Linked DNA regions of Tamandua tetradactyla. The protein of the gene in region 2 purifies or fractionates together with the protein of the main gene of each other region. This does not show direct contact. Links are inferred from orthologs where the notes say so. Each region holds a gene or a part of one and is shown on either strand. Other genes may lie near its edges.

Region 1 (15,474 bases), on a different chromosome or scaffold from region 2:
TGTAAATGAACACAGTGCACATTGTCCCTACACACCCACATTTTCAGTCACTGAAGGATCAGAAGACAAGTCCAGTCTTCTCATGAGCTGTTTGGTAAGACTCCCAGTGGTAAGAGCAAGGCAGTGGTTGATTATATTCCCAACTTGGTAGAAATTATAGCTTAGAAACAGGTAAATGTTTAGAAATGCAGTTTACTCTTTGAGGAATTTGCTTGTATAGAAAATTAACAAGTCCCTGTAAATAAAAGGCCAATTATTCCCTGAAAGGGGAATGGACAGAGGAAGCATTGGATAATGGAAGAAGTGTTGGTCTGGGGAATTAGGAAGCCTGGCTGTACTACCTTCTCTTTTTTTCCCCCTTTACTAGAGAAGCTGTGGGTTTGCAGAACAATCATGCATAAAATATAGGACTCCTATTATTAACACCTTGCACAGGTGTCGAGTATCTGTTACAATTGATGATAGCATATTTTTATAATTGTACTATTAACGTAGTCCAGGACATAGGTAGGTGCTTAATATATGTTTTTGTAGAAAAGAATTAAAGAGGAAGGAGAATTGAAGAGGCACAGGTCAAATGGCTTCATTTTAAGCTTTCTTAGTAACATAAACAAGTGAACCATCTACACTAACAGTCGCACAACTGGAGTGTGGCGCTCAAGAGTGTGAAAGTTTTAGTGCTAGAGGGAATGGGAATGGCAATTAAAGCAGCAAAGGATTGCCTAATTGCCCCAGAAGCAGTGTACCTTTGTCATGGCCCTAATTGTCTGCTCACCTGACCACCAGTTCCCTGCAGCTCAAAGTAGCAGCAGAGCCAAATGGATATTGAAGCCTGGAGTACCATGGGAGGCATCAGTAGTCTTAGGGGGAGCATGACAGACCACTGGCTGCAGGGTCAGCAGGAAGGCCTGCTGTTGAGTAGGAATTCACAGCAAAGAAGAGAATCAGGAGTGAGAAGGAAGGACAGATTGTATTAAGCAGGATCCTAGAGTTTAACATTTTGAAAGATTGTTGTCATCTCGTCTGTAGGAATTCTAATTGTAGCATCAATGTCATGATTGATTGTTAACTTTTAGTATACTGAGATAATTTTCTTAACTGAATACAATTTTAAAGTAACTTTTTTCAATTTAAATCCAGGCTTGTGATACTTGGGCTGTTATCCTCTGAAGCCAGCTTTGACTCATCATTCTTAGGTTGGAAACAACTTATTCCATCTCAGAAAGGGCCTTTTGTATATATAAACCTTTTATTTATAACTTATTTTGTATTAAAAATGTTTCAAATGTCTCTGCTCTGGGTGTGTTGTGTTGCAGGTTGAAGGGGAAGGAATAGAAATAGAAATGAGAAACTACCTTGAAGGAGAAAAACCAATTTTATTTTCCATCATTATGGCATACAAAAATCTAAAAATGAAAGTTTTACAGGGAAGGAACAAATGAATAGTAAACAAGAGTGTATTAGAAATAATTTAAATTTGAAAAGTTTTCCATGATATTAGGCTGATAACTCAAAGCAGATATATGTCTGGCCTAAGGAATATGCTTTGTTCACTGGCCAAAGCCTGCCCTAAAAAGAAGGTTTCCAATGTCTGCTCTACTGGCTCTTAACAAAACTTTTGAGGTCTTCAAGAAAGGTAATGTATTCTTGGTGCTCCAGGGCTGTGCTGAGCTCCACCAGCTCATCTGCAAATGTGTTATCCACCCCTCGGTCTGCAAGGAAGTCCATTAGGTGGTCATACAAGGCCTAAAAAGAGGAGCACCATTACCAGTTTTAAAAAAATGACTCCATCTGTAAATGCTTTTGTTTCTCCTTGGACTAGGACCCTCCCCTGCAAGGCCCAAGAGCATCCCCTATTCATCAAGCACTTACCCAGTCCAGAGAATCTGTGTTGAGTGTGTAATTAGTGTCTTTCCAGTCAGACTCGCCAGTGGACTGAAAGCTCACTTCCCTGATGGAAAAAATGTCACTCTCGTCCTCCTCTTCTTGTCCAACCTGAGAAGAAACAATACTGGGGAAACTGAAGAGCTCCCCTGGGCAAGTCAGACTCATGCAAGGAAAAGGAATGATTTACAGTTTGAAACTCACTTTGCTTCTCCTCCCTCTCCCTTTCCCCACTTTGCTGATCTAAGCTAAAAGGCATAAGCATCTACTAAGAAGGACCAGGAAGGTCCCAGGAGGCACTCCTTGTCCCCAGGGGCTAGCACTCCACCCTACAAACCTCGTCCTCTGGATAATGACAGTCCAGTACAAGGGCCTTCTTGCCGTCACTCTTTACAACTTCAACCACAAAATTGGGTGTTGACATCAATTCAGGCTGGGAAATAAGAACAAGCAGTCAGTACAGGCCATTATTTGCAAAGGTCTCAGATAGCTGAGTTTGAAAACCAACACCATTTAGGATATTCTTTAGCTATTTTTATAAGTCTTATGTTATATTGTCCCCAAATACGGAGCCTAGAATCTTTAATATAGAGTACTAAAGCCACACACATATTAGCTCATTCAGGATACTGGCCTAAACTCTTCCAGTTGATCCTTTCTAGAGTTCTAAACTACCTTCTGGAGGGCAGAATATCAAATGTTTAGTAAAATGTTTAAATATCTGTTAGTACCTACTTGTTTAAAGAACACAGTAGGTTTAGAATTAAGAAATCTGGATCCCAGCCCCAGCTATGTGTCAGTTAACTGCAATTCTAGATAAATCCTTAATTTCCCTGGTTCTGTTTTTCCATCTGTACATTCTAAAGGTGGCCTTGACTGTTTCAGGACTCTTCCTTTATTAGGGCCCAAGATCAAAGGCAGGAGCAACTGACTAACTGGTCATCCAAATGGCTGAATAAAAAGCAGCACTTCTTTTGATGATGAGCCCTTGGAGTATACTGTCAGGGAGATGCTAGTTGGGGTGGCTGAGACAAAAGCATGCCAGAGAGCTGTGCTCTCCACCTAGGTCATAAGGAAATACTGATGACTGCTTAGTCAGAAAGTCTGGGGAACCTATGGCCCTGATTCTGGTTGGTTTCTAGGCCAGGCACACTGCTTATTAAAATGTCTGAAAAGCTTGGGCACCATCCAGGTCTAACCAAGATGGACAGTAAAGAAAGATCCCACCAAGTGTTAACATCTACCTTGGCTGAAGTGTCTGGGTATTTATAACTAGCCTATCACATGTTAGCTATACCTCAGCACTGTAAACTATAGTCTCCAGTGTTAAACGTCCCCCCATCATTAGATGGGTAAGACAGTTTCAGTTGTTCAGAGAACGAAAACTGGTCAAACTATAAAGCCGAGGCCTGCAGATAGCAATTAATTCAGTCCCTGGGAAGGGAAAGGTGCCACACAGTTCCAGGGCTAAAGCTGGCAACAAACTGCTGGCTCTGATACTCTACAAAAGTCCCAAGGATGGTTTTCCTTTGCGTTCTCTTTTCTAGCATTAGAGGAATAAAAAAAAGGAAATGCTTATCTGCTAAGTCCCTCCTCTAGCCTGCCTGAACTCTGAGGAAAGTCTGGTTAGAGTGGTACAAGCTCACCTCTGGCTCTTCAGTCTTCTGCGCTTGTGCGGGCTCCTCCTCCCCACTGAATGTGGGTGGGATGCTATTGTTAATGTTGAAAGTGACAGTGACCCTAGAAGGGCAAAAGAAAACACAACGGAAGTGGTGTAGTCTTAATAATACACAAGTACTAAAACTTGCTACAGTAAAAAATGCTTGAAACAATGTCTCTGTCCTAGCTGGCTGTGCACCTGAATTGTCTGTAGAACTTCCAAAAATGCTTGTGTGCCTACATCCAACCCTGAGTTCCAGTAGGTCTGAAGTGTGTCTACCATGTGCCAGCTGCTGGAAGTCAAACTAACAGGCACTAGTTCATTCAGCTCAGCCAGCTACAGTCATGGATGAGCTACTTGTGACAGGTCCACATCCCAGTATCACAGTCCCCATCTGTCCACTGCTTATTTCATGGCCATGGCCAGCTGACACTGCCAACTTGTAGAAGCAAGTTGCTTAGCTCCAGCAGCATCTGAGAAGCTAGTGGAGTAGAACTGTAGCTCCTTTAAGAGCTCTTCACTGCAAAACCTGCCCCTGAGAAGGGAAGAAAGAGCACTAGAGGCCAAGAGCAGCTCCGGCCCCAGGAAGGAGAGGCCTCACAGAGAACAATTCCTCAGAGTACTTGTGGGAGGTTTTACAATCAAAAAACTGGTTAAAAACACTGACTAATGACAATTTTAAGGTACGAGCAATTTTAAGGTACAAACAAGTAATGTTCCAAAGTTGAGTCAATATTCTGATGATACAAGATTTAGAATCAGAACTGCTTGGCTGTGCAACTCCAGCAGATAAACTTCACATTTAATTCATGTAAAGAGCACCTCTTGGGGCACAATTAACAGTCTCAGAGCATAAAAACCCAGGGTAAAGGCTGTCCCCTAGAGCTGTGTTAGCTGGCTGCCCTGCCAGGAAGTCACTTTCCCATAGGAACAACAGTAGTTTAAAGTTCAGCCACAAAAATCTGTCTAATCTCCCACAGCCCTGATGAATAAACTGAGCTGAGCACAGAAATGCAGTGATGTTCGTTCATCACAGCATTATTTATAATAGCCAAAAATTGGCTATGACTCACTATGCAACCCGACGAAAATGGTTTAGGTGAAAATACAGAATACACAATTGATCTATGTATAGGATAGAACACATTATACCATTAGGCAAAAAAAAAAAAAAAAAAAAAAAAAAAAAAGAATCAGAACCCCACACCTCGCATCATCTACAAAAAATGAGCTCAAAATGGATCAGACATAAACACAGAACTAAAGTATAAATCTCTTAGAAAAATATATAAATTTAAATCTTTGTAAACTTAGGTTAGGCAATAGTTTCTTATATGCCATAAAAAGAAGAAATTACAAAAGGAAAAACAGATAAACTGGTATTTGTCAAAATTAAAAGCTTTTGTCCATCAAAGATCACTATCAAGAAAATGAAAAGCCAACACACAGAATGGGAGCAAACTGGCAAATCATATAGCTGATAAGGAAATTGTATACAACATATAAAAAATTATTGTAATGCAATAAAAAGAAAAGCAACCCGATTTAAAACTGGACAAGGAATTTGAACATTTTTCCAAAGATAATACAAATGGCCAATAAGCATGCGAAAAGATGCTCAACATCATTAGCTACTGGGAAAATACACATCAAAACCACAATGAAAACAAAAACAAAAATAGATAAATAACCATAATGAAATACCACTTCATACCCATTATACTGCCTCAAATAAAAAAAGACCGACAATAAGAAGTGTTGGCAAGGATGTGGAGAAAGTAGAATCCTCTCATACATTGCTGATAAGAATGTAAAATGGTACAGCTGCTTTGGAAAACACCTTGACATTCTCTCAAATGGTTATATACAATTACCACATGACTTAGCAATTTTGCTCCTTAGGTATATACCCAAGATAAATGAAATTATGTGTCAACACAAAAACTTCTACAGGAATATTCACAACAGCAGTATTCATAAAAGCTCAGAAGTAGAAACAACTCAAATGTCCAAACAACTGATGAATGGATAAATAAAATGCTATTATTCAGCCATAAAAAGGAATTCATACAATGAATCTTGAAAGCATTGTGCTAAGTGAAAGGAGCAAGACACAAAATGCCACCTATTATATGATCCCATTTATATGAAATGTTCAGAATAGGCACATTCATAGATACAGAAAGTAGACAAGTGGTTGTCAGGGACTAGGGTCAGGGAGGGATGGGGAAGTGATGGTTAATGGGTACAGGGTTTCCTTTGGGGGGTGATGAAAATGTTCTGGAATTAGATAGTGGTGACTGAAACACAACTTTGTGAATACTAACTGTACATTTAAAAGGGTGAATTTTATGGTATATAAACTAAATCTCAAAGATATTATTTAAAAAGCAGGATACAGAATTATATATATAGTATGTCAATTCTAAAAGCACACATCTTTGGGGAAAAAAATCTAAGGTTTGAAATGATGTATGTACCCTAGAAAAGCTGTGTTTTAATCAAAATCCCATTTCGTAAAGGCAGAATAATCCCTATTCAATACTGTATGTAATTAGATCGTGTTGCTGGAGATGTAACCAAATCAAGAGTGGTTGTTAAGCTGGATTAGGTGACATGTCTCCACCCATTTGGGTGGGTCTTGATTAGTTTCTGAAGTCCTATAAAAGAGGTAACATTTTGGAGAATAGGAGATTCAGAGAGAGCAGAGGATGCTGCAGCACCACGAAGCAGAGAGTCCACCAGCCAGTGCTTTGGAGATGAAGAAGGAAAACACCTCCCAGGGAGCTTCATGACACTAGAAGCCAGGAGAGAAAGCTAGCAGATGACGCCGTGTTCGCCATGTGCCCTTCCAGCCAAGAGAGAAACCCTGACCGTGTTTGCCGTGTGCATTCTCACTTGACAGACAAACCCTGAACTTCATCAACCTTTTTGAATCCAGGTATCTTTCCCTGGATACCTTTGATTGGACATTTCTATAGACTTGTTGTAATTGGGACATTATCTCGGCCTTAGAACTGTAAACTAGCAACTTATTAAATTCTCCTTTTCAAAAGCCATTCCGTTTCTGGTATATTGCATTCAGGCAGCTAGCAAACTAGAACAAATGCTTACCTGTGTAACGGGATTTTGGATAACTATAATGTAAATAAGTACAAACAACAGTTTGATGTGAATTATACTATAACCCACTGGTGTTACAGATGAGCTCCATATCTAACATTTTCCCCTGCTGTATGCATTGAGAGCCATAAAGCCAGGGAACATTTCAGTCAGCACTATAAACCAGACATCAAACTGATTATGTTGTTTCATTAGCACTAACTGAATTTCTAAATTTGCCTGCCTAAATTCAGGAAGGGCATGCCACTTGAGCAGTAAAGGTTTACTGAATGACTATCTCTACTAGTCCAGTAGACTTCGAGCCACATACTTTTGTATTACTTCCTTACTGTCTCCATAACTGGTCCAGGGCAAATTTGTATTCAGTGAATGAGCTAACTACACCTTATGAAGTTGTCCAAATAAATCCTCTCTCTTTAAAGTCATATATCAAAGTTCTTGCCTTAACTCAAGGTTGTTCTGAGGATGACCCAAGGCAAGTCCTTCAGGGTCATGGATTTGGTCCCCTGGAGTTCCCAGGCCTCCAGCCCACTACTTACTTTTCCCCAGCAACTTTTCGCACTAATTTAGCTTCTGTCCCGTTTACTTCCAGCTCCCAACCTCCAGACATCTTGGGGAGGGACTTATGCTTCTGGATCTTCTTCTCTTCCTTAATCTCATCACTCAGGAATTCAGCAAAAGCTCTATCCCCTAGAGCGAAAATACAGATGACAGAGAAAAGAAAAGGCAATCAGCATAAAGCATAAAACAATGACCCAGATTATCGCAGCTAGACATATTAACTTGCACTGTTTCTAATCTCAGCTATTAAATGTTGCTTTGCGAACTTGGCCCAATGAACTTCATTAAGCCTCCGTTTCCTCATTTGTAAAAATGCCATAATACTGTCAGTGGGAAGCTGACCTCGATTCCGGGACAGTTATTTCTAACAATGAACTTTTTACCTCGTTTCACTATAAAGTAAAACAATCCTCCTCTTCAACCTGCCAAGACACAACCATACTTCCAATCACGACCTTGGGTCTTCCCAAAGTTTTACCTTCTAGAGACTAAGTACAAAGTCGACCTCCAGGGTTTGATTTTATCTCTTTCAATTAGTCAAATACTTGGTGGATGGGGCGGAGGGGAAATGTGATCACAGGAAGGTTTAACTTACAACTTAAAAGCACTGACAAACGGGGGCGGGTACGGGAAGTGCCGGCCTAAAGTTTCCCTCTCCCTCCTGAGATTCCCCCACCCCATCTAGGAATCTGACTCCAGGCCCCGAGACTTCACCTTCAGTATGCAGTGCGCCGCAGCCACAGCCGCAGCCGCAGGGCCCGCGAGACCGCAGGAGGCCGGGCCCACGAGCAGACCCAGCGTGCAAGCTGAACAGTCCAAAGGGCCGGGTGCACGGCCGGTGCGCAGGCTGGAGAAGTTGGCGGAGCGCCTGTGATGGCGCGGCGGCACGGAGGCCCGTGACTCCGGAGCCCAGAACACGGGGCACGCAGCGCAGGAGAGGAAGCATCACGACTGTGAAGCCGAGGAGCAACACGTGCGAATGCTAAGGACGACTGGGGCCAAGGCGCCCTGTGACCTAACGCGCTGCCGGAAGTCCCGCCCTGGAGCGGGAAGCGCTTCCGGAGCAGTTGCTTTGAAAACGGAACCCATCGTGGGTGAAATCGCGCCCTCTGCTGGGTGACTCCCGTCAGTGAGCCTCTGGGTTCCTAATTCTTGAGCTGAGTCAGCCCGTCTGATCAGAGGCCTTCTGTTTAATTCGCCAGCGTCTCTTCTCCCCTGTGGCTGCTTAATTCTCCAAATTTCCATCTACTATTCTCAAAACGCGCCTGGTCTTCTGTGACTTCTGTACAGGCTCGTCGTTTCCCCCACCCTCAATACTCCTACAACTCCCTCAACACTTGACCCAAGGTCACCTCCCTTAAGAGGTCTTCCTGGACTGTCCACCACCCCCATAAGGTAGCCTGTGTGCCCACAGCCCCTAGGATTTATTTTTCCTTCAGTAGTAACCTCCTGGCATTACTGCTTTACTGGCAGATTCCCTGCACCCCACCTGGCTTTGAGTTTCTGAAGAGCAAGATCCATGATTTTAATGTGGGGTTCTCTCCCACCTTCTCCTGTCTTACATACAAGTTCTGGTAGGACCTCATTTTTCTAGGGTCAAGAAACCATGGGTAACATCAGATGTAGTTAAGAATTAATGTTCCTAACTTCCCAGGAGACAGTGGATATATAGGATACTAAAAAAGTATGTCTTCCCAAATGAGTGGTAAAGATAAGACTAATGTATTCTAAACAGCTTTCTGCGAATAAGAGAAAGGAGACGCAAGAAAGCCACACAACTCATGTACAAGATTCATTTTTAATGGATTTTATGGTTATGTGCAAATCTGAGCATTATATACAAGAGCTTATGTTTCTATAGGATCTGTCTGAACAAGAGCAGCCTCTCAAAATACAATATAAATCTGAACCAATTCGATTATTTTTCTTAGAGATTTTTCTTTCTTTTTCAAGCTATAATAGTCTGATCAAATAAAATACATTAAAATTTTTGTTGTCCCACAGGTGCAGGCTTCTTCATATGATCAAGGAATGGTATCTTGGCTGCCTGGCCGCAGTTCCTGGCAGCCGTATTAAGCAGTTGTATAATATATCACAATACATAATTGTGTTTACCCTCAGAGCAAAAGCTTGCCTCTCTGTTCTGGTATCTCTTTAAAACTAGCAGAGATGCAACACTAAGGGGTTTTTACCAAGGACCCAGTATGTGTAGTCCTTCCCCTTGTAATGAAATCTGTGTTACTATGGATGTTTCACACATCATGACTGGAAATAGAAGAAAAACATCGGAGGCATGTAATCTGCTTGGAGTGCACCTATTTACATCAAGCTGCTCATGGGAGCTAGAGATTGACTAGTTCAGATACAGATTTTACAGGTTGGAAAACAGGTATCACACCATCAGAGATCTTACCAATTGAAAAAGGGTAGCTCAAGATTATATTTTAATATCACTTTGAAATATTTAACTTTCTTAATGAAAGTTTAAAGTGTACTATTCCCTGCAGCTCAATATAAATAACCATTTACTTATTTGTGGTAATATGTGGAGTCAGAATGGGTTTTCCAATCTGATTTAATCCCTGAGCAGCTATGTCATAAATTAACTTCTGAAAAAGCTCAGTAAAAAGTAAATACTATATTAAAACTCCAACAAAATGTTACAGAGGTACAACTATTTCTGTACAGAAACATTAAACCTGTGCAGAAGCTGGTCACACCCTTTATGCCTTCCTCCCACTCAGAATATACATTTCTGGAAGTTGTGCAGGTACTTAAACTGGACATATACTACTCCAAGTTAAGTGTGACTTGAATCAGAGATTGGCTATAGAGATAATTTGCCAAGGAATATAATCACCCTTTCCCCAATTTTTTACCAGCAGAGTTTTATTTTACCAGAACAATTTTTTACGAGCACAGAAAAATACATTTGCTTCTACCAAGTCAGGGTAAACATCCTAGCCCTATATCAAATAAAGGAAAAAAGAAATACACCTAAAAAAAAAAAAAAAAAAGGAACTTTTCAGAAAGTCAACAGCAGTAATAGCAAGTCAATCTGAGGAAAAGTTAGCTAAGATTCAGTAAGATGGGGTCTACAGGATCTGTCAATCCTATTTGGTCTAAATGTAACTATTTGTTAAAAAATAAATCACAACCTCCCAGATACCCCTGAACACTGGCTAAAAGCTTGAATACTCAAGACCGCAGCTAGTGTTGTAAAAACTGAACCGGATTTGGCATGCTTCCTGATGAACAGGTCTATGACCTGGAAGCACTCCACGAGGCTGTGGTCCCTGAGAAGAGCGTGCTGGACCCAGAGTGAAAAGCCTCTTTGGCCCAGTTTGGCCCCATGCTTTTAACTGCAGGACTCACTTTGAACTTGTAAGCAATGATCAGACACACGTACAGATGTGTTTAGACCAATTAAGCACACAAAAAGAGGAGGCTAAATCTTGGCTTTTCCTCTGAGAAAAGATCATTTGCTTTTGATAATAGCTAAGAAGAAACTTTGGTGCCTTTTCCCTTCTCAAAACAGGAAAACAGGATGAGACTGTAGAGATCCTCTAATCCCCTCTGACAAATATGGAAACTGAGCTGGAGAGGGATGACTGGCCCACAGAAAGTAGCAAAGCCAGGTTGTCCCCAAATTCCTAAGAGGCAGATAAAAGATCGTAGAAAATAAGATATAAGAATATGAAGACCAAATGTGGTCTGAGACAAGCCAGTCTCTCTCTCTCTCTCTCTCTGGGGTCTCACAGACTGTGTATCTCCCTATTCCCCACAGCTCTGACCAGTGCCAGAGGCACTGCCAGAAGAGAATGGCTGAAACAGAGCATGACATCATTCATTATATTCACATGTTTATATGTGCCCAGTTAGAGAGAAACATGACAAGCGGTATGCTGGAGGCCATCATGTTATAAGATTCATTTCCAGTGCCTGCACTGGACATGATGCAAAAGATAAAAATCAACCTTAACCCAGGAAACTACCTGTCTCCAGGAAGCACTGATAGCAGCATGCTCCAGAGGCACCCAGGCTGGAGAGACTCTAGGGGGTAGGCATGGCCTAGCGACTGGAGAGCTCTCCCTTATTGCTCTCTGCCTGGAGAGAGCCACACAAAGGTCCACCCCCAGGGAATGAGACTTCGCCAGGGCAGCCAGCCCATGAGGTAGGAGACAGCCTCCCTCTTGAAACTTCCACAGAAACACCACACAGATATGTTTAGGCCAATTAAGCACACAAGAACAGGAGGCTAAATCTTGGCTTTTCCACTGGGAAAAGATCATTTGCTTTTGATAATTAAATAGCTAAGAAGAACCTTTGGTGTCCTTTCCCTTCTCAAAGCAGGAAAACAGGAAGAGACTGTAGAGATCCTCTAATCCCCTCTGACAAATGTGGAAACTGAGATGGAGAGGGGTGATGTTTTCTATTACAGATGGAAGTTAAAACAGATCCAAGCTCTGCGGCCTCCAATGGCTCTCTTCCAGAAAACACGCCCTCACAGTCACAAAAACTTGCAGGATGTTGTTGCACTCAATTCACAGCATATTAAAAAAGCACTGATCATAATGGCTCAAATTTATTGTGTCTGTCATGCACCAGGCACAGGTCTGGGCACTTTGCATTATTTTTCTCTAAACTTTGCAACTTCTATAACCTTATGAGGATTATCATCATCATCATCATTATTATTTTGATCCCCATTTGGCAGATGAAGAAACTGAGGCTCAGAAGTTTACTAAATAATCCAAAGCCACCAAAGAACTGAAAGTAAAATGATGAAGTTTCTGTGGTACAGATGCATGTACACATTTACAATCTTCAGTCTTAGAAAGATGCTTTCAAACTCCTGGAAGTTAGGCCTGTCCAGCTGGATTAAAAGTCTCCACTTCTCTAGGAGCCCACATGGGTGCCTCTATGAGGACAGCTCTGATGCGAGCTCCCAGGCAAGCAGCCATCCCAGCAGTGTTCAGGTAGCTCAGCTTCTGGCAGTTCTCAGCTTCTTCCTGAAGTACTCAGGGGAGGCTTCAAACAGCCATTCGGCATCTACAACACAGAGGTCTCGCATGTAGCACTTGTTGGTGTAGAGCAGCTCAGTGTAGACGACACAGGCTGGCTTGCAGTGGAAGAGGACAGACGAGGGGTGGATGGCCACCGGCTGGTGCGTGTCGGTGGTGGCATAGGTCCCATCTGGCTGAAGCTCAGCAGTGTTCATGAAAAGGCTGTGTGCCAGACAGCGGCGGACGCTCTCCATATCGCCTCGGGATGACACGATTGGCATGGACATCTATTGGAGGAGAAAGTGAGAAATAGAAAAGACCTAAACATAAATACTGCTCACCACAACACAGTATTTAGAGCAACTGGAACCACAAGGCAGCCCATACTGCCAGCCTCAAAAAAGGGATCTTGATAGTCCAATGCCTTGAGATTCAGCTGAGGTATGGGAAGAAGGCATGGCTGAAGAACTGAAACTACAGCCTGGGAGAGTAAGTGGGAAGGAGACATTCATATAAGCTACCAAACTACAGACAGGATGGTCGCCCGACATCCCACCCCCTCACCTAAATATCTACCAGGACTTCCCAGAAAAGAAAGGCTTTTCCTCTCACTCTGACAACATCATCTCTTCTCTCCAATTTTTATTACACCCTGCTAACAAATTATTCTTCCTAAAGCACAACTCGAATCGTTTTTCATCCACTCAAAAACCTTCAATGGCTCTCCACTGCCACTGGCAAAACCCCACAAACTTCCAATTTCTGAATCTGGCTGAGCCACCAGGAGCCCACTTTGCCTGTCTTTTCTCTCACTCTTCCTTAGGTATCTTATGATCTATGGAAATGAATTGTTTTCCTCTTCCTTAGACCCAATTTGGAGACAGAGGTTACATGCTCGCTGCAGTGATATAGCAAAGCTGTCTCTGTGGGAATAGGCACCTGATGTCCTGAAAAGACTAAAGTATTACAAAGCTGCTGGAACGTGGGACAGAAGGAAACCTTGGGAAACGTGGAACTTTTGACTCATCCAGGCACAGGGAAGCAGATGGTTCAGCCTGTGCTTCCTCCTTCCCCATTCTTTAGTTACACATTTGTTATTTTCTTTACCTCCTAGCCCTATAAAACAAGCAGTGCTGAACCTCTTGGGGTCTTTGAGTCTCCATCAGAGCTCAGAATCCCACTTGGTCCCAGATTTAACTATATTTTTTTCTCTTGCCTTTGTTTCTTAATTCCCTGTCACCTCTCTTCAGTCCCGACACTGAGCTGTGCTGGTTGCGGCACCAATTTTGTCTTCCTATATCCTTTGCAGATACTGCTCTAAGTTGAAACTGCCCCTCTACTGCCCTTACTGAGTGGACCACGTAACCTCATGTTCCTGGCTACAGCTGAAGAGAACAGTGGTAGATACTTGCTTGACCCAAGCCAGGCCTATCAACTTCTCTTTTCCAGGAATTCAGAGTTTGACCATAGAGAATCTAATCAATCTCATGGAGAGGCCATGTAGAGCTGGGGCTGACACAATCACCTGCAGGCTGAGGTAGGAGAGAAGAGTGAAGGAAGCACACAGAGAGCAGCCAAAGCAAAAGGATAAGCAGGTCCAAAAGCAGTAGTTGCTCTGGTTCTGATGGCTTTTTCTACTTCCTTATTCCAGTGCCTTGTGGGGCTTGACTCTATTTGAATAATTCCCCCCTTTTCCCTTGAAGATGGGTCAAGGAGTTTTGATTTTTGCAAATAGCCCCTCTTTGCCTGATGAAGACATTCTGCATCTCCCTGTCTGTCAAGACACAGCTCAGCTGTCACCACCTCCACGAAGCCCAGATTCCTATGGCCAACTGGTCTCCCCGTCCACACTGTTAGCTCCTACTCACTGACTGTGTGATTTTAGACAAATTACTCAACTTCCTTAGGCCCTAGTTTCATCATCTGTATACTGAAAATAAGAAGAAAATCAACCTTATGGGAATGAAATGAAGATTTAAAATAAGGTAATATGTGAAAACTGTTCAGAATGGCACCTTAATAAATGTTTCGTAAAAGACTGATTATTATAAATATTATTGCCTCCTTACATGAGTTTCTATATAGCTATCAAATCTCCCCTTAGATTGTTCCGTAAGATACTGAGGAGCTTTTGAGGGCAAAATGGCGGTGTAGTGGGGTGTGGAAATTAGTATGTCCTCGAGAACAGCTAGCTAGTAAATAGGCAGGAAGAGTATGGAACAACTGTTGGTGGGACACCAGTGACCAGACACACAGCGTACACCAGTCTGGAACAGGTGCAATGGCTGAGATCCCACACGGAACAGTAACTCTCCCAAGCCACAGAGGCCAGTGTCCCTCCCCTATGGGCATGGCAGGCTGGTCCCCTAAGGGAAAAAGAAAGAGATGTTACCAGAAGCAAGGAAGGTAGCTCAACCAAGCTCTAACTGCAGAATTAATTAACAAATTCAGACTGCTGAAAACAGGCCCTGAGCACAGATAAATCTGGAGTAAGTACGAAAGGAATCCAGAGATTTTGCCTTGGCAGAGAGGGGTGGGGCTGACAGAAAAACAGCAACCAAACCAAACCAAACAAACACACACAAAAATACTGGAAAAGGGCTGGACCCCAAGAAAAGGGGGCACACAGAGTCTGGGGACACACAGAGCTTTGTACCAACTCCAGCTCTTGATTAGCAAACCTGGGAAGCTGGGGTCCAGCTCTGAAAAGGCTTTTTTTTTTTTTTTCTCCACATTGTATAACAGCTCACTAGATAGAACTGCGGGCATTTTCAGGCTCCAGCACTGCCCCAGGGAAGAGGGGAGTTAAGGCATGTCTGAGAACCAAAATAATTAGTCAAATAAATGGGGATAATTCCCTAATGGGTATATCTTCCCCAAGAAAAGGGGGGCGAGGCCCAGGTCAGTGACTACCCCCCTTCAGGGAATTCAGGCCCCACTGGAAAACAAAAGCAACCTAAGCACACCTCCTACTTCAGCCTCTGTCTCAACCACACCACTGGCTGTGAGAGGCTGCTGTGAATGAAAGGAACCCCATCACTTTATGCTGGTGGGATGCTGCGGGCTGACAACAGCTACATGCTGGGCAGGATAGGAAAAGCACAGAGTTTAGAGGCTTCATAGGAAAGTCTGACAACCTGCTGGGTCTCACCTTCAGGGAAACTTGATACTGATTACACCCTCCACCTGAGACATGGACCTGTCCAGTCTGAGAAAATCTGACTGGGGTTGATCATATCT
Region 2 (15,267 bases):
TACAAATGGTAGCCTCCTCCAAGCTCTGCCCACACCCAGGTACATTTTATGTCTTGACTATCAGGGCAGAGGTACTAGCGGACTTTTTTTTTTTTTTTTTTTTTTTGCTTGGGCAGGCACGGGGAATCGAACCCGGGTGTCTGGTATGGTAGGCGAGAATTCTGCCTGCTGAGCCACAGTGGCCTGCCCACTAGTGGACTCTTTAAATGCCATCTTTCAAAAAGCAGTGTCACTTGGAAGAAAATCAAGAAACAAAGTCATGTTGAGACATTAATATTATATAACAATTTGATAAGGATAAAAGTCAAATTCGAATTTAAGCTTTACTTCAGTCAATATGTATTCAGGGCCTTTTATTTTCTATATAATATAAGCTATAGATAAATAATTAGAACATGCATGAGTATTGTATTAGTTCGTAAGCTGCCAGAATGCAATATACCAGAAATGGAATGGCTTTTAAAAAGGAAATTTAAGTTGCAAGTTTACAGTTCTAAGACCATGAAAATGTCCAAATTAAGGCATCTGTGGAAACCTTGATTCAAGAAAGGCTGATGGATCCAGAACACCTGTCAGCTGGAAAGGCACATGGCGACATCTGCTAAGCTTCTCATTTCGTAAGGATTCCCTGGGGATGGTTGCCTTCTGCATCTCCAAAGATCTCTGGCTGTGTGGGCTGTCAGCTCTGGTGGCTCTAAAGTTGTTTTCAAAAAATGGTTCCCTCATAAAGGATACCAGTAAGCAGCCCCACCTTGAATGGGTAGAGGCACATCTCCATGGAAACAATGAAGAAAGCCCACCCAACAATACTGAATGAGAATTAAAGAACATGGCTTTTCTAGGGTACATAATAGCTTCAAACCAGCACAAGTATAATTATGGCAAACAGAAAACCTCAAATTAGAGCTATCCCATAAAAGTGAAGATAATCATCTATTTGTGCCATGCCTTGTGGGAAAAAAAAGGACTAGGATTGGGAGCATTGTCAGATACATGTATTAATCTATATTTGGGAAACTGAGTTAGTGAATAACTTGCTGATAAAGATGGCAAAATATATCCAATAAGGGTTTATTATCCAGGATATATTGAGAAAAACAACTCGGCAACAGACAACCCAATTTAAAAAGGACAAAACCCAGACATTTTTCCAAAGAGAAAGTACAAATGGACAGAAAAGCACATGAAAAGGTATTCAACTTCACTAGCCATTAGGGAAATACAAATCAAAGCGACAATGAGATACCATTTCCCATCTCTAGAATGACCACTATATAAAAAACAAAAAATTACAAGTGTGAGAGAGGATGTGGAGAAAATGGGAACATTCACTGCTAGTAGGAATGTAAAACAGTACAGCTACTGTGGAAGACAGTCTAATCTGCAGGTCTAAAGCTTGGAATTCTAACCAGATAGCTTGATATCATGAATGATAAAATTGTACTACACCAAAAAATGTCACATCACCTGAACTTACTGCCTAGGGCTGTGCTGCTCAGTATAGTTTTCTCATGTAGCTACTGAACACACTTGAAATGTAGCTTGTGGAAACTGAGATGTGCTTGAAGTATAAAATTCAGGATTGCATTGCAAAGACTTAGTACATAAAAAAATATGTATTTCTTATATAAGAAACTTTTCACTATAATGTAACTTCTTATATTTCTATTGGACAGCCCTGATCTAGAGTCTCACTAATTATCAGGACCATCTTGCTCCACTGTCCTCATACATAGTAACAGGACACCATACTTGCAACTGAATTCCATTTATATGTAATGAAGACTAGTTTAGGGGTATGCATAATCCCTTATTATAAAGATTTAGAGGAACTAATGAGCATTCTAGTCCTGGCAAATCAACAAGTTCAACTTGGTGATTATGGGGGGGGGGGGAATGGAGAAAATATAAAGTATACTGTTTTTAAGATACTGGAAGGAACAAGCCTGTGGACTGAGGAGGATTAAAGAGAGAAGAGGAAAGGTTTTCAGAAACAGGTAGGCTCAAGTATGTTAACAGGCTAAAGAAATCAATGGTGAAAAAGACTGAAGAGACAGATCCCTGTAGAATTAAATCTCAGAAACCACACCCCATACTAGCAAAAGGCCTCTTTTGTAGATGAGAAAGTGCTCTCTCCACCACCAGTTACTATGCTAAGTAAAGGTCCAAAAGATTTTAACATTACGTCATCAATTCATTTTCTAAGAGTCTCCCTTCAAGTCTCTCCTTTTAAGAGCCTCCTTTTTAAGAGTCTCTTCTCAATTTCTGGAACTTTGCTAAACAGGATACCAACTAATGATACTAACTTGATGCTCAAGTTAACTTCATTACCAGCTTGATACTAAATTACAAGTCCTAAAATTAGCCAGTTTTTTTTTCCTGGATGTTGTTTGGTGGGAGTCACGTTTCATTCTTCTTCCACGTGACCATTCCATTATTGAAGCACCACTTTTTGAAAAAAAATTTTTTTATAAGTTCATGGGCTGGGAATTGAAGCCAGGTCTCCTGCATGGCAGGCAAGAAGTCTACCATTGCCCCCAGTTTTTACTGTAACCAGGCAATTTGCTAATATTCAGTTCTCCTTAGGACTCCACACAAACATGCCATTGTAAACTTTCTCCTTTGGAAACATATTGTCCTTCCCAATAACTCACTTTAACCTGGATGTGAAATGAAGGTTTATCCAGAATAACTTTCTTCCAGAAAATTCCATTTAAACCATTTCCTGTTGGCTTGAGTTACCAAAGCTATTTAGATAATTATTAACAGGAATTATATATCCAGAAAGGTACACATACATATGTCTTGCATATTTTTCAGTGTTATCGTCTAGAGCAGCTGTCCAATAGCACTTTTTCATGTTAGCAATTCATGAAGTCCCAAGCAGACCCTCATTTAAAGAGTAGACCCCCATTCTTAAAAATCTATTTTTTAGTTGTAATAGGATTTTTTTTAACCAAAGTTCTATACCAAGGACACATGGTTTTGTTGCTAAAGCTCAGCAAATAGGCTTTTAAATTCAATATATGTATCTTGCACCTTAAGCTCAATTTAAATATTTGATCTATTAAACACTTGAAGAAATAATCTAAAAATGGTATAAATACATTAGTGAACAAGGACTACAAAACTATTACTGTAACTAGTCTAATTTAGACTAGTCTTTCAGTTCATATATTTATTCACCATTAAAATTGCAAATGCTGTTAAAGGCTGTTCCTTGTTTACTGTGGGTTTAGATACAAAGGGATTTAAGAGTGATCATTTCTAATAAGCTTCCAACACAAAGCCCTATGCTGTAGGGTCCCAACCTTGAAAGTACCAAGGCTTTGAACAAGAAATACTTCCCTATTTTTCTCTGTTAAACCAAGACCCATCTGATAATATTTACATAATGAAGTGAGACTAAAATGATAAAAACAAGACATTTATTATCAATTATCATGTCTTACAAATTTTATTTTTACATAACCAATGGATAAAATACAAAATATTTACAAGTGTATGTACAAGACTCCCACCTGTATGTAGTCTCTGGTCCATTTGTGCTATCTCACATCTGCAAGAGAAACCTAAAATGTTAGTTAAGTATTTAAATCTTCTCATATGAGAGCTTTTAACCACAATTACCACTAAACATAGGAATAGGATAATGCTGGAGACACGAACTTGCAATAAAGTGCTGCTTCAGGCAACATTAGCCAATGATTTTCTTTTAGACAGGCACCCACAGGCTATATGGACTTTTTTTCTCATTTACTTTTGGGGATCCTGAAGAAGTGTCAACAGTAGCTTTAGATGATCTCTGAAACATTGGCTTTGCTACAGAATTCTGTAAGAGAACAAAATATTAAGTCAACGTTCCAAACACATACTTACATACCTTTATGTACAGCTTAAAATACTTTGCAAAATATGATAATGTGATTTAAAATGCAAAGTGAGGACTCACTTGTAACTTAAGTCAAACCACAAAGTCAATGAAGTTGGAAAAATTAAATATGGACAGGGCTATATTATAATAGGTATCATATACTTTGAGCTTGTTTTTAAAAACCCTTCTCGTATTGAGTTAGTTTGATTTGGGGATCTTTAGATTTGCTTTTTTTTGACATGGGCAGGCACCCGGAATCAAACCTGGGTTTCCAGCATGGCAGGTGAGAACTCTGCCTGCTGACCCACGGTTGCCCACCATTGAGACGTGCTTTTAATATAAAACTTATGAACATGAATTTTAAGATATGGTAGCCCTTTATATGGGTCACTTATAAAAGTGGCACAAAAATATAAAAGATATTAATTTTACAAAGAAGCTTAGAGGGCCCCAAATCATCATAAGAACACACATCACAAAGTCTTCCAACAGAAATAAAATCTTATTAATACAAATATGTTTCAGTGACCAATGCTTAGGTAACTTACATAAGAGCTGAAAGCTATGCTTCTTTGCTGGGAAGATTTTTCACTACAATTTTTGGTTTCATCTTCCTTAAGTTCTTCCGACAGCTAGACAGATAAGAAAAACGTATTTTTAAAAACACACCACTGGCTTGCAAGTACTATATAAAAAACAGCCTAATAGTATAGAAATTCAGTTTTAGAAACAAATAAAGTTTTACCTAATCATATAGTTAGCAACCTAACCAAATATTCTGTTGAGCTTTCCCATAATAAAAGTTATTTAATGACAGAGTTGATTAAGGCCTATTCGAATTCTAACTTTTAAATGTAAAGCCATACCAGAAAATACCTAGTTTCTTCAAATGAAGAAATAAACGCATTTTTTTATTTCTTCAAAGAAAGAACACATTCACCATTTTGGGGATCTGAGATGAACTCAACATAAGTTGAATAAGCAACTCAACTAAGAATATCTATTAATGCTAGTTACAACTGAACCTCACCACACTAAGGAAACCTACATCTGGGTCACAATGGTAGGTGCATCACAATGCACCATACACCTAGAAAGCACATTTTGCCTGTGTTTCACATTTAGCGATTCTTTTCCTTCTCTTTTTTTAAAATTCAGACAACTTCAAACCTTTGCACTGAAAGTTCAACGTAAAAGCACATTCACATATGAATATCAATTCCTAACTTCCTTAAAACATTTAAGGCCATGCGTTCTTGTTTTTTCTGTTTGTTTTTTGCATAGGCAGACACCAGGAATCAAACCTAGGTTTCCAGCTTGGCAAGGGAGAATTCTGCCACTGCGCTACTGTTGCATCACCCAAGGCCATGAGTTTTAAACTTTGGATTTTACATGAATAATTTAAAAAGACATATGCCAGTGCACATCCTACACATTCTTGAGAATTATAATAAACTTATCTGCAAGTGAAGCAGGCCTCTTCTTCTGTAATCTCTCAAAACATCTGGAACATATTGCATATATTATGAAAGGGACATCTATATTCACAGATGCCCCATCTTTACTGTGTATCTTTGGTTAGTTTTTGATACCTGTTCCCAAATTCTAGCATGCATTTAATCTACCAAAAAAAAACAAAACAACAAAAATCTAAGCTTTCAGTGCTTGAATTTAAATTTTAAATTATTTAAACTTCTTATGTTTTAACCCATGTATCAATTACCAACAGATTTTCTTCATCAATGTCTGGAGACCACATTCAAGATTTCTATAAGACAGAAATAAAGCAGGTAAACTATACTGTATTTTGAGTACAGAACTGGTGGAGAACATACTGCCGCAAATGAAAGCTAAAGATAAACACTGTGTGAAGACTAGAATTTAGAAAAATCTGTCAACTGCATAGAAAGACACCAAGTACCAGCTACAATATATCAGCAGTGTTAGGACAGTGATTAGTAGTGTCAATCCAAAATAAAGTTTACTAAGCTTCCATTTTCATGGGTGAGACCTGGCTAGCATTCTGAGATCTGGTATTTTGACATTAGCAAATTATATTTAGCTGGCTTTTGGGAGAAGATAGTCTAAGATAAATAAAACTGGCTAATCAGATCTTCTGGTAGGAGTCTTTTGAAAAGGTTGGATAAACCTGGAACACTCACCTCGAATTTTGCTCCACTTGGTACAGCTGTTCCACAGTTTGTTTCTTTAGATAAAGGAACAGTTCTGAGACTAGCTGGCAAGTCAAGGCTGGATGTTCCTAAAGCTTTTGCCGCATTGGCTTTTGCTATTTCTAACAGTTCCATTCGATCTGCAAAGAATAAAAAAAACATCTCATCAAACCTATAACATTTCCACAAGAGGACAAAAAATCACGAATTAAGTGTGAGTTTTATTTAGAACAGCAATGAAGAGCTGGAATGATTTGTTTTTATTTCCAAATATAAGGTATAACTTTATTCATGGAAACATCTTCATCTGTTAAAAAAAATACAAGCATCTTTAATATCAATAAAAAGTTTACCTTACCAAAGACCTGAATTTCATATATTTTTTTTTTGCTTTCTCTAAAAAGTTTTGAATTTGAGGTGTTTTTTGGTACAGATACACTTAAAAAATGTTTGGCTTCAGAGAAAAGCTGCAAGCACAGTAGAGTTCCAATGTACCATACACCCAGTTTACATTTACACTAATACATTATGGAACAATTGTTTCAACTGTTGAACCAATTCTAACACACTATTAACTAAATCCCCATACTTTATCACGTTTCCTTAGGTTTTTTTTTTCCTTAATTTTTTATCCGCTCTCTTCGTTCCAGGAATCTTGTCATTAAAAAAAAAAGTGACAAACGACATACCTTTCATGTACCAAAGGTAATAAACTGAAACTACACAGTACCTACCTCTAGTTCCCTGACCTACTCGTACACTGTTCATACAAGAACCTTAACTCTGCGCCTCTCTCAACGACATTTCACCCACCTTTTTCACTTAAGCGAAAGGGAGTTCTGCTCCGCGACCTAGTCCTGGATCTCGACCTCCAACATCTGTGGTCTTCCGGGTACACCGTGCGACCAAAGCCGTAGCATCGTCGCCCCCGCGTGACCGCGTAGGCCCTTCGGTAACAAGACCTTCCCCGAGAGCGGGACCTGCTCCGGGGTCGGTACCGCGACGGAGACCGGTAATGCCTCCCGTAGGAGCCGCGGTGCCTCTCTCTGTGCCGGCGGCTGCGGGAACGCGACCGGCTGCGCGAGTAAGACCTCGAGTAGCGTCTGTACTTCCGCTGGTGGCGCCTCCGGCAGCGAGACCGTGACCTGCTCCTTCTCCCGGGCCGGCTCCGACTCCGGGAACGACTGGAGACGCTGGAACCGGACCGAGAGCTTCTGGAAGTCGAGCGACTTCTGGAACGCGAGGAAGACCGCTGGCTGGACTGTCCCGATCGGGACGTCGAGGGGGAATCCTTCTCCTGCAGCGAACCAGGCCACATGTCGTTCACGTAGTTGGACATCTCAGCCTGAGACTTCATCTTAATTTTCTTGGAGAAGAACCTCGAAAACACGTCCCTAAAGCAACCAAAAAAAGGTTCACAAAAGGAAAGATCAAGGCCAGAAGTTGGTCGCCGCACCCGATTACACCACCCCGCCCGATTGCTCCGCCCCTCCGTCCTCGCCTCCCAGAGGCCGCAGGCCTAGCCAGGCGCGAGCCGGTACTAGTCCTGAGAGAAACAGTTCTTAAAATCCCGTTAATGCCGTGAAGCCGCGTGCTCGACGCAACATGCTTGCGTTCCCGTCCCGCGATCTACCCCACTTTCCGCGCGGCCCACACCTGAGGTAACCGCTGAGCCGACCCTCCACCAGAAAACTTCCCAGAGGCCGCAGGCACCTCACTCTAGACAGTTAAAGAGATCCAACAGACGCGTTCCTTCCGAAGCCTGGTAGGAAAAGCGGCTTCCCAAACAACAAGACCCGGCGCGAGACTTCTAGCGTCCGAACTCAAAGACAACTGAATCTAAAGACGCGGTCGAAAATACTAGAAGCTAGCATCCGGAGCATGCGCAGAAACGTAAGGGCGATGGGCGTGGCTCCTTCTCGACCAACCACCGCCCGCCTCTTCTCTCCCCGTGCCCCTCCCCCCCGTCCTCGCGCGTCGCCCTCACGATGCGCGTGCGCGACAAAGCTCTTGTTGGCGGGGAGGGAGGCGCTGCCACATCTAGTGTTTGGCTGTATGCCATGCTTTGTTTTCTTGGCCAAAACCCGTAGAACGTGTTACGACCCGGCGCGGCGCAGTTCCAGGCTCCCGACCGACTGCACGGTCGGGGGCGGTCATAAGTGCCAGGCGGGGAGTCGGCGGGTGAGCGGGAGAACGAGGAAGAGCCTCATGTAGGTTGGGGCTGGAATCCGGCCTGTCTGGCAGAAGCCGCCGTTGTCGTTCTGGGACTCTGCAGATGCTTGCTGTGCCTTACTGGCTCCTTTCTCTTACCTCGTGTCCGACCCGTATCGGGAAAGGGCGACCGCTCCCCGACCCTGAAGACCACAGAATCTCAGTAAATGTAATAGTTAACTTACCAAAGGTGTTTTACTTCTGTGTTTCGGCCAATAAAGGTAAGAAAGTGTGGAGACATAATGCAGGCAAGCAAGAAATTGATCAAATCCGTGATGCCGCTCGTTCCACTTATTAGTTCGTTTAGTAAGAAGCTGAAGTGAGCGTTTGTTAATGCTTCTTAGGGCTGGAACTATTGGGTCACTAATTGGCATTAAAAAAACTTAAGAATTGTCAGTCACAAGTAAAAAGGGCTCCTCCACCCTAAGTCATTTAACAACCATAGTTAGACTTTAAGAGGTCAGAATGTTGTCTTAGGTGTCGATTCTGAGGACAGCGTGCTTGGTGTTGAGGATTAGAGGCAACTATTTTATTCTCAGGGATTTACAAATACGATACATTCTAAACATTTATGGTGATAAAGCATGACAGTTGCTTTGAAAACTGAGTTACTTAACCCCTTTCATTGAATGAACAGGTCACTTTTGTAAGGAGATTTATTCGCTATATGAGCATCTTTACAAATTAGTGATATTTTCACGAAAGCAACTTTCTTTAAAGGGAGATACATTCCTTTGTTCATCTTCACCCCACATATTCAAACATGCACAGAAGTGGAGGGAATAAAAATCTTACCACAGATGTAATCCTCTACATCTCTGAGAAAGCATCATAATGGAAATAATTTCTTAAGTGTACTCATGTCCTTGACATATTGCTAAATACTATCTCAAGTAAGTTGAGAAGATACAGTACCCATTTGCCAGGAACTATTATTGAAAGTTCTTCATGAGTTTCACGTTTGATAAGTGCAAAAATGATGTGTTAGGAGGAAAAGAGTGTGAAAATATGTTTATAAGATGATGGAGTCTGAGTTCATGATTATCGGAATCTTTGTGGACAGTTTATAATGTCACTCAAATGTGTCCCTGTTACATAATAAAGAATTTGATTTGGCTGGTTTTCGTTCCTGGGAGATACCCTCTAAATCAATGGAATTTCTGTGCTAGAGGTGTTTTTGTTATTCATGGTGGGCCTTCCAGACCACACCTGATAGTTTATACTGGTGATATGAGTCAGGGTGGGGGTGACCAATCATGGAAATAAGGAGTGTGACTTTGAGCCGCCCGCCTCTCAGGAAGAAGGAGGGACTGGACATGAAGTTAGACCAGGTGGGCATTGATTCTGTCAAGCCTATGTAATGAAATCCCAATAAAAATTATGTACGCCAAAGCTCTCATGAGCTTCACTGATCAGGAATACACATCTAAGTGCTGGGAGAGTGTCACATCCTAACTCGGGGGAGAGGACAGGGGAATTTCAAATTTTGAGACCCTCTCAGACCTTGCACTATGAATGTCTTCTTTTGGTTCCTTATTTGTATCCTTTTTGCTATAATAAAATGTAATTGTAACTATAGTGCTTTCCCAAGTTCTGTGGGTGGTTCCAGCACATTATTTGAGAGTGTGGTGGGAACCCCTGAATTTGTAACCAGTTGGTCAGAAGTGCAGGTGGCCTTGAGCCCCAGAATTTTATCTGGTGTGTTAAGTGATGGCAGGCTTGTGAAGGACTGTGCCTTGAAGCTGTGGAATGTGATCTAACTCTAGATAGAGTCAGGATTACTTTGCAGTTGGTATCAGAAGTTCCTGCAGTGCCTAAAAAAGGCGGCCAGAAAAAGCCTGGATAATAACAGTAAGGATATTGGAAAATCAATGGCTGAGTTAAAATATGCTAGACTAGAGTTTCTTTGTTTCTCTAAATAATACAATCTTGATTTAGCATCTGCCCACCCACCTGATGGGAAATCCAATTTCAGTCATTAGAGCATTGTGCACTGAATTTATAGGCTGATTTAGGCAGAAATGCCATCTTTACAATAGTCCATCTTCCTATCCAAGAATATGATAATTTTCTCCATTTATTTAGATTTTTTCAAGTCCTTACTGTGGTAGACAGACTAATGGCTTGCCCAAATTATTTAATGCCTTAATCTCTGTAGCCTGTGAATGTTATCTTCTATTGTGCAGATATGATTAAGATTAAGGACCTGAAGGGGTGCAAGGGTAGTTCAGTGGTAGAATTCTCAGGTGCCATGCGAAGACCCGGTTCAGTTCCCGGCCTGAGCACTTCCCAAACAAACAAAGAAACAACAAAACAAACAAACAAAATGGTGCTGCAATAAAGGGCTACTCACATGGAAAATGAATGAAATGTGACCCCGCCATACAGCATACAAAAAAAAAAAAAAAGATTAAGGACCTGGAGATAGATTATTCTGAATTATTTGGGTGGGCCTAATCTAATTGGATGAGAGATTGGAAGCATGAAAAGGATTCAAGGCCCTATTGCTGCATTTAAAATGTAAGAGGCTATGTTATGTTCAAGGACTAGAAAATGGCCTCTAATTGCTAAGGGCAGCTCCCAGCAGACAATCAGCAAAGACCTGGAGACCTCAGTCCTATAGCCTCAAGGCACTGGATTCTGCCAACATCTGATGAGTTGATGTTGGAGATTGTCTCCTAGGGCCTACAAGAAGTAGTGCAGCCCAGCCAACCCCTCAATTTGGCCCAGTGAGACTTCTGACCTGGAGAACTATAAGATAATATGCTTGGGTTGTTTTAAGCCACTGAATGTGGTAATTTGATACAGCAGCAAAATTTGCTAAAATTTTATAGATTTTTTCATATACATCTTGCACATCTTGCTAGGCCTATTTTGAAATATTTTAATGGTATTTGTGAAGAATATGATCTTTTTTTGTTGTTGTTATATATTCACTTTGTATTATGTTCACTTTGTTTTAAGTGTTCCTAATAGAAAACACTTAGCTGAGTTTTTAATCTATATGAAAGTTTTCTTCCTTTGGTAGGTAAAGTCATCCCTTTTATATTTATTGATTTTGTCTCTTCCATTGGTGTCTATTATTTATTACTCTTTGCTTTTTTCCCTTTTTCCCACTTTATTTTGCCAGCTTGATCAAGGATCTTTTTCCCATCTCCCATTATTCATTTAGAGGTTCTACAGTGCTTCACCATGCTATTAATGGTTATGTTTTAGCCCTACCAAACATATTAAAACCTGTTCCTCCTCTCCTCCTGTATTAGGGTTCTCTAGAGAAACAGGACTGACAAGACAGATCTATCTTTCTATAAAGAGATTTATTTTAAGGAATTGGCTCATGTGACAGTGGGGACTGGCAAAGTGAGCTGAAAGCTAGAAGCACCAATAAAGATGACACTAAAGTCCTTAGTCTGATTTCCGCAGGGGAAGTTGTCTAGCTGGAAATTCCAGCAGGAGTAATGCTGAATTTAAGTCTGAATTATTCTTCCCAAACTCTTAAATCCTCAGTTCTGGCTGTTGAGACCTCCAGTTGATTAGATGCAGGGACCTCACATTGCTGAGGTCCATTAGTTGATAGTAGATGCAGTCAGCTGTACATGCAGTCAACCCATTACATGTACTCAACTGATTACAGATCTACATTTCATCTATAAAATCCACTTGCAGTAATAAGCAGGTCCAGTGCCTGACCAAACAACTAGACACCATAAGCTAGCAAAGCTGATACATGAAATTAACCATTACATCCTTTGTCCTTTATTTAGTCATTCTACAAATATTTATTGAATGTTTATTGTATTAGATGCTGTTGGGTGGGTTTAAAAGTTTTTAGTTGTCCTTTCCCCCAACAAGGTCAAATTTCTTCATTACTTTTAATGACTAAGCTAATCTTGTAACAAATGAAGGAACCGAAGAGGTATAGAGAAAAAGCTAATAATCCGTACCCTGTCCCCATACTCCATCCTCACTCCCAAGAGGTAACCAGTGTTAGCATTTCAGTGAGTATCCTACCACACCATTCTCCAAGTTCTTTCAAACATATATATGACATATAGAGCTTTTGATGACTATGAACCCATTTTAAACCGATTTGCAACTTGCCTTTATAATGAACATCCTTTAAAATAAATTCTGTAGATTAATTTACTGCTATTTAACAGCTGTATAATATTCCATTACCTACAAGTACCATAATTTGTTCTTGTGTCATTATTACTTATTTGTAGACATTCATGTGGTTTTCTTTTTCTTTTTTCACACTCAAAACTATTCCTCAATATGAACAATCATTCACTGCTACTTTTATTACTATGTCATGAAGCCCCCAAAGTAGAATTTCTGGGTTAAAGGATCTGTGTAATTTAATATATTGCCATTTGCTTTCCAAGAAGATTGTCGTGATTTACAGTTTTAGCCACAAATATATGAGAATGTCTCCTGTTATTCTGAATTCTTTATTAATCTTTTAAATTTCTGCCAAAGTTGTGAGATCTTGTTGGTTTGTACAGGTTAGTGTGATGCCTCGATATATCCCAGAGTAATCTGGGCAGAGAATAAAAAAAATATCTGCAACATGACTCCCAGGAGTGTGGACCTTCCTGGCAATGTGGGACAGAAATCCTAGAATGAGCTGAGACTCAGCATCAAGGGATTGAGAGAACCTTCTGGACCTAAAGGGGGAAGAGTGAAATGAGCGTCAAAGCGTCAATGGCTGAGAGAGTCCAAACAGAGTCAAGAGGTTATCCTGGAGGTTATTCTTGCGCATTAAATAGATATCATCTTGTTAGTCAAGATGTAACGGAGAGGCTAGAGGGAACTGCCTGAAAATGTGGAGCTGTGTTCCAGTAGCCATGTTTCTTGAAGATGATTGTGTAATGATATAGCTTTCACAATGTGACTGTGTGATTGTGAAAACCTTGTGTCTGAGGCTCCTTTTATCTACCTTATCAATAGACAAGTAAAACATATGGAATAAAAATAAATTATAGGGGGAACAAATGTTAAAATAAATTTAGTTTAAAATGCTAGTGATCAGTGAAAGGGAGGGGTAAGGGATATGGTATGTATAAATTTTTTTTCTGTTTTCATTTTATTTCTTTTTCTGAATAGATGCAAATGTTGCAAGAAATGATCATGATGATGAATATGCAGCTATGTGATGATATTGTGAATTACTGATTATACATGTAGAACGGAATGATCAAAATAGGAATGTTTGCATTTGTTTGGTGTTTTTTGGTATATAAAAAACTAAAATAAAATAAAATAAATTTGCAGAGTGCCTTGGAGAACTGGAGAAGAAGGAGGAAATATTTAACTTTCACATCCAGGGAATTCGTGATATTCTCACAAGCAGTGAGGACAACCAATTTAATAAATCAAGCCCTCAATCTTGGGGTTCAGACCTATGAAACTTATTTCTGCAAAGAAGCTAAGCTTACTTATAATTATGCCTAAGAGTCAACCCCAAAGAACCTCCTTTGTTGCTCAGATGTGGCCTTTTCTCTAAGCCAACTCTGCAGGTGAACTCACTGCACTCCCTCCTACATGGGACATGACTCCCAGGGTTATGAATTTCCCTGGCAGTGTGGGACAGGACTCCTGGGATGAACAAGAACCCAGCATCATAGGATTGAGAAAGCCTTCTTGATTAATAGGGGGAAGAGAGATATGAGACAAAATAAAGTGTCAGTGGCTAAGAGATTTTTAAACAGAGCTAAGAGGTTATTCTGGATGTTATTCTTATGTATTATATAGATATCCCTTTTTAGTTTATAGTGTTTTGGAGTGGCTAGAGGGAAGTACCTGTAACTGTTGAACTGTGTTCCAGTAGCCATGATTCTTGAAGACGATTGTATAACTATGTGGCTTTTACAGTATGTGTGGTTTGAAAGGATGTATATCCGCTAGAAAAGGCATGTTTTAATCAAAATCCCATTCCCTATTCAATACTATATGTTTGAAACTGTAATCAGATCATCTCCCTGGATGATGTGATTTAGTCAAGAGTGGTTGTGAAGCTGGATTAAGTGACGACATGTCTCCACCCATTTGGGTGGGTCTTGATAAGCTTCTGGAGTCCTATAAAAGAGGAAACATTTTGGAGAAGGGAAGAGAATCAGAGACAGCAGAGAATGCTGCAGCACCATGAAGCAGAGAGTCCACCAGCCAGCAACCTTTGGAGATGAAGAAGGAAAACGCCTCCCAGGGAGCTTCATGAAACTGGAAGCCAGGAGAGGAAGCTAGCAGATGACACCGTGTTCGCCATGTGCCCTTCCAGCCAAGAGAGAAGCCCTAACTGTGTTCGCCATCTTCTGCCCTGAACTTCATCGGCCTTTTTGAACCAAAGCATCTTTCCCTGGAGGGATGCCTTAGATTGGACATTTCTATAGACTTGTTTTAATTGGGACATTTTCTTGGCCTTAGAGCTGTAAACTAGCAACTTTTTAAATTCCCGTTTTTAAAAGCCATTTCATTTCTGGTGTATTGCATTCCAGCAGCTAGCAAACTAGAACACAGTGTGAGTGTGTGATTATGAAAACCTCGTGTCTGATGCTCTTTTATCCAGGGTATGAACAGATGAGTTAAAAAAAAAAAAAAAAGGATAAAAAATAAATGGGGTTAAAGGGTAAAAAATTGGTAGAATGAAATAATAATGGACAATGAGAGGAAGGGGTTAGCAGTAGGGGATGTATGTTTTTTATTTTTTTCTTTTTATTTCTTTTTCTGGAGTGATGCTAATGTTCTAAAAATGATCATGGTGATGAATATACAACAGTGTGATGATATATTGTGAGCCATTGATTGTACACGATGTATGGACTCTATGTGAAGATTTCTCAATAAAAATATTTCAAAAAAATAAATTTTTGCCAAAGTGATAGGTAAACAAGTAGTATCTTTCTTGCTTTAATATGTATGTCCCTGATTAAAAGTGGTTCAGTGATAGAATGCTCACATTCCATGCGGGAAACCCGGGTTTGATTCCCAAACCATGCACCATTCATTCCC

The links.
Region 1: the proteins of RSRP1 (region 2) and C1QBP purify together in Homo sapiens (affinity purification with mass spectrometry; 3 studies listed by BioGRID and IntAct, counting the BioPlex papers as one, with this or other methods). This does not show direct contact. The link is inferred for Tamandua tetradactyla from reciprocal best matches to the Homo sapiens genes RSRP1 and C1QBP.

What each region holds. Positions count from the first base shown.
Region 1 is NC_135332.1:59,927,360-59,942,833, reverse strand, and holds C1QBP (complement component 1 Q subcomponent-binding protein, mitochondrial), read right to left. Parts: upstream 8,262-15,474; 5' UTR 8,175-8,261; coding exon 7,943-8,174; intron 7,358-7,942; coding exon 7,207-7,357; intron 3,625-7,206; coding exon 3,531-3,624; intron 2,318-3,530; coding exon 2,222-2,317; intron 1,996-2,221; coding exon 1,873-1,995; intron 1,747-1,872; coding exon 1,597-1,746; 3' UTR 1,357-1,596; downstream 1-1,356. Other genes in the region: RPAIN (RPA-interacting protein), read left to right, coding at 1-109, 1,141-1,170; ATP-dependent RNA helicase DHX33, read right to left, coding at 12,213-12,521.
Region 2 is NC_135328.1:200,903,102-200,918,368, reverse strand, and holds RSRP1 (arginine/serine-rich protein 1), read right to left. Parts: upstream 7,957-15,267; 5' UTR 7,702-7,956; intron 7,440-7,701; 5' UTR 7,403-7,439; coding exon 6,859-7,402; intron 6,186-6,858; coding exon 6,037-6,185; intron 4,507-6,036; coding exon 4,423-4,506; intron 3,833-4,422; coding exon 3,716-3,832; 3' UTR 3,412-3,715; downstream 1-3,411.